Linked DNA regions of Arabidopsis thaliana. The protein of the gene in region 2 interacts with the protein of the main gene of each other region in a pairwise test. Each region holds a gene or a part of one and is shown on either strand. Other genes may lie near its edges.

Evidence for each region.
Region 1: the proteins of BSK5 (region 2) and ASB1 interact in a two-hybrid assay, tested with the Arabidopsis thaliana proteins (one large-scale study listed by BioGRID).

The regions. Positions count from the first base shown.
Region 1 is NC_003070.9:8,837,845-8,841,600, forward strand, and holds the start of ASB1 (anthranilate synthase beta subunit 1), read right to left. Parts: upstream 1,706-3,756; 5' UTR 1,635-1,705; coding exon 1,529-1,634; intron 1,436-1,528; coding exon 1,272-1,435; exon of another isoform or gene 661-1,271; coding exon 551-660; intron 463-550; coding exon 425-462; intron 329-424; coding exon 218-328; intron 103-217; coding exon 3-102; intron 1-2. Other genes in the region: AT1G25230 (Calcineurin-like metallo-phosphoesterase superfamily protein), read right to left, coding at 2,630-2,855, 2,965-3,032, 3,344-3,472, 3,566-3,693. UniProt on the Arabidopsis thaliana protein: Part of a heterotetrameric complex that catalyzes the two-step biosynthesis of anthranilate, an intermediate in the biosynthesis of L-tryptophan.
Region 2 is NC_003076.8:23,821,374-23,825,129, forward strand, and holds the start of BSK5 (kinase with tetratricopeptide repeat domain-containing protein), read right to left. Parts: upstream 1,945-3,756; 5' UTR 1,727-1,944; coding exon 1,645-1,726; exon of another isoform or gene 1,555-1,644; coding exon 1,346-1,554; intron 1,226-1,345; coding exon 1,090-1,225; intron 886-1,089; coding exon 752-885; intron 625-751; coding exon 519-624; intron 413-518; coding exon 327-412; intron 209-326; coding exon 20-208; intron 1-19.

The DNA.
Region 1 (3,756 bases), on a different chromosome or scaffold from region 2:
ACTTTGATAATCCAGAGAACAAGCCTTCTTCTCCTTTCTCATCATAGTGAACCATTGAGCTTTTCCCATGCATAACACCAAATGGTGACCGCACAATCTTTCCTAATCAATGTTCAAACAAAATTGCATTTAAGTTGTGGATACATAATAAAGAACAAATCCATGTTATAGAACACTGATACGGAGAAATAAGATGTCTTGTTTATATACAACTAACCTCCAAATGCTTCTCCTATACACTGCAAACCCATACATACTCCAAATAAAGGAACAAGTGGTCCGAGTTCCAAAACAGTTTGCAAGGAAATCCCAGAGTCTTGAGGGGTACCTATAAAATTTAAGAAAGGTGTTATCTTCTTCTCGGGCACTTCAAAAAGATACACCACATAATCAGAAAATAAATTTCAGAGGCCAGAATATTTACCAGGCCCTGGAGAAATCAACACCCCTCTTGGATTTTTTCTGCAAGAAGGAGAGCATAATAAAGGAATCAACACCAATTGACTAGCTAGATTACGTTTTAAACAGAATGCATATAGTTTCTTCTCACTTTTTCAGCTCTTCTACTGTAAGTTCATCATTGCGGTAAACTTCAAAATGGCATCCTAGCTCTCCCATATACTGTAGAAATAGATAACAATTCTCAAAATTTTGTTTATACTAAAGCAGAAGAAACCATATGAAGAGAACGATCACAATAAATACTAGAAGTGAGACATGATCAAATTGTATATTAGAGACCTATTATGCATTATGTGAGATACTCAGAGCAGCCAAAATTTCATGATAAACCGAGATACTCCAACAACGAATAAACAATCTAAAGTAAAAAAATAACAACTCACAAAATCACCAATTCAAACTTTGAACATGATTAAAGATACTACTCAAAAGACCAGACTTTAGGCAGCAAAGAAGTGATGTATTAGCTTTTGCTTGATCAACAGTTACTCCTTACAACGCCAAACAAGAAACGAAGAGCTTTCGACAATAAGATTTGATGGTACAACATAACGACTCTGATCACATACATAAACAAGAGAGAAACTACATTACATAGTCTTATCTATTAGCATGTCGAAACTAGATTGGATTGTGAAATAATGAGATTTTAACATTCAATCACCATGCATACTTGAATAAACATTTCTAACAAAATCAAGGACTTTGCAAATTCAGCTGCTTTTACACCAAAACAGATTCAAAAACATTCCACATCAAAAATCTAACAAGCGTAGAGTGAAGATTTGAGAATGTGTTCGAAATGAAACCTGGCAGAGATTGTATGTGAAGCTGTCGTAATTATCAATCACGATGATTGGACCATGCTGCTTAGAGGAATTGACAACAACGGAAGGTATCGAATTCGATTCCGCCATTTCAATCGAAGCTTTCGCAAAGACATCTCTACGACTCTTCCCCAAAACGGAAACTCCTGTATCACAGAGGAAACAAAAAAACTGATAAAAATCGAAACTTTAGATTGGAATAACGCCTCTATCTCCGTATCTCGACACCGGAGACTTACTTGTGGGATTCGTAAGAGGGTTAACGAGAGAAGGGTTTAGGCGGCGAGTGGTGGAGCCAGACTTGGGTTGAAGAAGACAGGATTTGTACAATGTAGAAGCCGCCATTGTCTGAGAAGCAAAGATTCCTGATTTAATTCCAAAAGAGAGGAGTTTATAAAAAGCTCTGAGAGAGAGAGATTGGAAGAACTTGACAGGTGAAACGGTGCGTTTTGTGGAACATGAACCACGTGCTTAATCAGTAGTAGGTGAGTGGATTAATTAATTTGATTAGAAACCTCTTTTGTTTGGTCAAAGTCAAACTCATACTTGTCTAAAATGGCGTTTGGAATTAGTCCATTCGCAGGACTAGTCAATTCGTAAATGATAAAACCATCACGTTACTCTTGTCCTAAAATAAATAAAAATAATGTAATAGGGCCAGTCTTGTTTTAGCCCGAAACACTTTAACGGGCCCGGACCGGACCTTAAATTTAAGCCCTATATAACATCCCTACATGCTACACGTGCCTAACCTAAGTCTCTAGATAGGTTGGTAAAAATAAATGAACAAAATTAGGAAGTTAGTTTTCATTTCTTAAAAAGTATGAACAAATATAGGAAGTTATTTCTTAATTTAGATTCATGTATTTACGTATCCTTTACCATTTTTGGTATATTTTTCTCAATTCCGGTTGATGTGTCTTTATTGGTTTGGTTTGAATTGAAAAAGACACCAATGTTGAAGTTTTTTTTTTGCTCCCATTGAATGTAGCTCCAACTTTTAATATGAATGTTCTTATATTAGGCGGTCTATGGCCAAACGTATTTATTAAATTGATAAAGTATTGTACGAACCTCCAATTTTTTTGGTATGTGTTTGTTTGGTCCCATATAATATACTTAATGGATCGAACAAAAGAATTGTATTTACGTCATGGTTTAGCTAAATATGCTGTGATACATTCAATGACGAAGATGGCTCGTACAGAAAGTTTCCAACATTCTGCATGACTTCATGTATTCTGAGTTTGCCTAATTTACTTGATTTTTTTTTAGCCACTCATAGTAATCATATTTATTTATATGTAGAATTTATGTGCTTTAACTGATTTTCATGTGAATTACAATGGGAAATAAAAATCCGAGTCTAACATTTTCGATGTGTCCCACTTATGCAAACTATTGCCGGAGACATCATAAAAAACGACACTCAATTCTGATCTAGTGATCTTAACTGACATGAAACCTTGTCCATCGTAGAAAAATTTCATATCCTCTGGTGTTGTCCAATTGTAATAGCCTCTCCATGCCTTTGACCCACCACCACTCGTTAGAAACTGAATTGGGCTGCAAAATTATAATAAAATGTTAAATCCACAACTTTATCTCTTTTGTTATCCGCTTCATCCAAACACAGGTTTGGTTTATACTCCATATAACTATTAATCGTTGTTACCTTTGTGATGTGCTTATATGTTGCAAGCAATGATCATGACCGTTCATATAGAGATCAACTTTATTCGCCTGAAAAATCCAAGAATCTAATATTATAATAGTGTGTTTTTTTCTTTTTCAAACGAATTACTACTTTTAGTATTTCAAAAAAAAAAAATTGTTAATGGAAAATATCAACTCCCTTGCGTTTGTCTTTTGCAAAAATAGTTTATGAACAAGTGGAAATGTTAACTTTTAGAAATATACATACTTCGAAAAGAAATATTCACATATAAACATAAAAAACGCAAAAGTTAGTTTAAGAAAAAAAAACACTTTAAATTGCATTTGAAATAATCGAAACATCTCTTAAAATAAGAGTAATTAAGAAGAAAATGAACCTCAAGGATGGGTAAGAGGAGAGATTCAAGCTCTTTGGTATTCCCATGAATGGAAGCACTCTTTATAGCATGGTGACCCACCACAATTTTCCATTTTGCACTTGATTCTCTTAGACCCATCTCCAACTCCTACACATTATAAATACTAATTAGTATTTGGGATCGCCATCATGATAATTCCTACAACTGATGGTAATGACTTAATTATGTGTTTTCAAGTACCGTTAAGATGGTCTGAAGGTAGGATTTTCGCGGTGATACGCCGCTCCAGTCGTAAGTTTGGTCTTGTGGACTGAGGAAATAAGCATCTACAAAAGGAGTTGTGTCGACAAAGAAGAGCTCTGCGATCTCTGCCCGAATATTGAAGATAATAATTTAAAACCGTAATTATATGAGATGTAAGAAAAATATTA
Region 2 (3,756 bases):
TGATTTAGTGAGTGCATACATCAGTTTCTTTCTGAAGAGGAGCGAGTGAGGACACGAGAGATTTCACATTTGGCCTTTCACGAGCTTCATACTGCAAACAACGGGAAGCTAAACGAACCAAATCGGTTCCATCATCGTTTGAGAAATGGCCATCTAGACACGAGTCCATCAGCATCAGGAAATTCTTCCCACGAATCAGATCAAGCGCCTGCAGAACAATGGTAGAGCATACAGAACTTTATCAACATTTTCTGGGATAAGGAGAAGAAGCTAAAAGATCAAGAACTTCCTCCCAAGAGAAGTTGAGCCATGTTTGGTGCACTTACATGGCTTGGTGGTATGTGTTTGCCGCTGAGAAGATCTAGCAACAGCGTTCCGAAGCTGTAGACCACACTCTCCGGAATCACTCTCCCTTAAGAGATTAATAAACGCACATCCATATATCAGATCAATATCATAACTTTGTCAAACAGCAAACACATAACTTGACGCCATTGCATCTCAAATCAGTAACTGACCTGTTCTTAGGTATTCAGGAGGTGTGAAAGCCAAATTTGTACTGTAACTCTTCCCATCCCTACTATTCTTCATAAGACCAAAGCAAGATAATCTCGGGTTACCATCCTGTAATCAAGTTTTCCAGAAAAACATTATAAGAATCCCAGAACAGTAACTTATACGAAAAGTGAAACATAAATCCAATCAAGAGCAAGAAAGAGATAAGAGAGTTAATAGTAAGCTCGAGATGGACCTGGTCAAACAAGATCCTGTAAGCATTAAGATCGTGGTACAAGGCGCGACCTTTGCTGCTACAATACTCAAGTGCTTGTGCAAGATACAAAGCCACTCTCAACCTCATAGACCACTTCATTGGCTGACTATCCCCTACATATCATCACAAATTATTAAGTTCCACCAATCATTTGCATTTAAAGTGTTAATCTTTTGTTCAACAAGATAGAACCAAAAACAGAAATTACCAACAAAATCTCCTAAACAATGTGTTAGAACTAAAAACTAAAAGGCGTAGAGAATCAAACCAAAAAAGTAAACAGTTGCCAATCTCTTAAAGATGATGAGAAGCCTTACAGTGAAAGAGATGCTTCGAGAGAGTTTCAAAAGGCATAAACTCAGCAACGAGCAATCTCTCGTCTCCTTCACAACAGAATCCAATCAAATTCGCCAACCTCTCATTCCTCAACTGCCCCACAGCTTTTGCTTCTTCCTAAAGATCAATCAAACCAAACAGTAAACACCACCAAATGCAACAGGGGTTTTAAATTGAACTGTACGAGAACCCATCAACGGAAATGAGTAAAGGAATCAAATTTATGAGAGTTCGTACAAGAAATTGACGAGTATCAGGCCAAGCGGATCTATTGAATCGTTTAACAGCGATCCATCGGTCATCTTCAAGTCTGCCTTTATACACAACATTAGGAGCTTTAACACCATGTTCGGAGACAATACTGTCTGTAGAGAATCCACAAGTAGCAGCTCGTAGTTGGTCGAAACTAAACTCCGTAAACGACGGCAAATCGTCCGTTCCGTTATCTATCAGAACAAAAAACAAAAAACTCAAACTTTGTTAGCAGAGAGAGTGTGAAAGGTAGAGACTTTAAGTGAAGAAGAAGTTGTTATCACCTAGATCAGAAGCTTCGTTGTGAGTTGATTTGAGATGGGTCGGCCACCAACAGAGAGAGAGCTTAGAGCAACGAGGTCCCATTTTGGGGTTTTGAAAGATTTAAGGAAGATTGAAAGATTTTTCTTAGCTAAACCCGAAAAGCAAAAACCCTTTTTTTTTTCTGGTGAGTCACTTTCTAAAGAGAAGCCAAGAGAGAAAGAGAAAAAAAAAGAAGTTTTTTTTGTTCTCGAGGAGAAAGGAATCTGCGGAAAAAAATGAAAGGAGAAAAATTTATATATAGCGCACGTAGTGGGGAAGACACAGACACAGTCACAGTGGTGAATCATTGAAAAACGTTAAACTTCTTTCTTCAACAATAATAAGTGTTTTTACTTGTTGTGGATCCAATGTTTCTCTTTCTCTCTCGCTTTTTCACTTTGTTTTTTTTTTTCATTAAATATCTAACGTTTATACATTCTGATAACGTTAAAACAGTATTTTTGTTCAATTAGTAGTACATTCAAATCTCACTTTCCAAATGACCAAAACTATATAGATAATAATTACAAAATTAATATGTATATTTTAACAATATTTTTTTCTTATTTACGATGGACACTTCTAACTTCTGTAGTATTTAGAAGAACAATAAACCATACAATTATGTACGATATCATATCCGCAATCGGTTAAGAAAACATTTTGGAAAGCTTGCAAAATCAGTTGTATGAAAATTTTAAGAATGTTTTAGAATGGTGTAGGAATGTTTATAATTTTTATTTTTTAATTGGTCTTTTTGAAAGATAACAGAAAAATAGTGTTTTAGAGTAACTTTAAAATAACACCAAATAGACAACCTTGACTAACTCTGAAACATCCGGTTAAGATATGAAAGGTAAAAATAAAATAATAATGCGAAATTACTACATTAGGGGTAAAATCGTAAACTGAGTGGTCAAAGGGTCAAAGCTATGTGTGCATGCGTGTGGGTGTGAATATTAAAAACAAAGTGGCAGTGGTAGTAATAGTTTAGGAGAAGTTGCATTTAGTGTTCTCTCCATTTAATCTAATCTAGTTTTTCTTTGTTAAAGCATATCTAATCTAGTTTTTCTTCACATATTTAACTCATATTGCCAAAAGATTTTGCCTAAACTACAGATATTATTCAACAAAGCGATAACTTTGATTTGATAAAAGACTGTTATACAGTTTCACTTTTTTATGTACTTTATATTATATGAGCATTTGAAGTTTTGAACCCATAAGCGAAGAACTTTCCAGCTAAAATGACGCAGACCGGTGACCCAATATAGCGAAAGAGGTCCATGAAGCATTTTATATGCGAGTCAAAAGCTTTTGCGGAGTATCATATACGTATTACACCGCAAAGCTCATAAAGTTAAAATCTTTACGAAGCTTTCTCTATGATATATCGAACCAACTTTTGATTTGTTTAAATAATTATTTATTTATAAGAACAGTTATTAATGTTGGTTGGTGGAGACAAAGAGGATCTTGGTGATAAATATGGTAAAGAAAGTAGTAATAGAAGATGACTTCACGCGTGTGCCAAGGAGAAGTTTGTTGTCCTTTGGGGGACACATTTTAGCCTAATTTAAGATGCTCTTAAGTGACCAAGCCAGGACCACTACAACTGTAAATAATGGAAGATAGTAATCATATTCTTCTAGACAATGGAGCGTTATTTTGAAGGTTGCATGTTTTTAAAACTCCCTTCGACTCTTGGCTCAAGAAAATGTTCATGCCAATAACGAAATTTTGGCAACCGATATTAAATATACGCAATAAAACTAATAGTTAGCAATCATAAGCTTTGAAACAAAATCTTTCAATAAGCAAATTGCTCTATATCTTTTATTTCTTATGATGGAAAGATGAATCCTTAGTTTTTACATATTTAGAAGGTACTTACTAGAAGTTGAGTAGTGCTCCGGTTATTTCAAAAAACATTACTCAACCTATAAGGCCATCTCCAAGGGAACTGCAAAACTTTAAAATAGCGTGGGAATGTTAACTTTTTCTCTCCAACCAAACTGTATAATTTACACTATTATAGTGTGATTCCTTTTTTTTCAACAGTATATCACTATATTTGGTGTGTCACTGTAGAC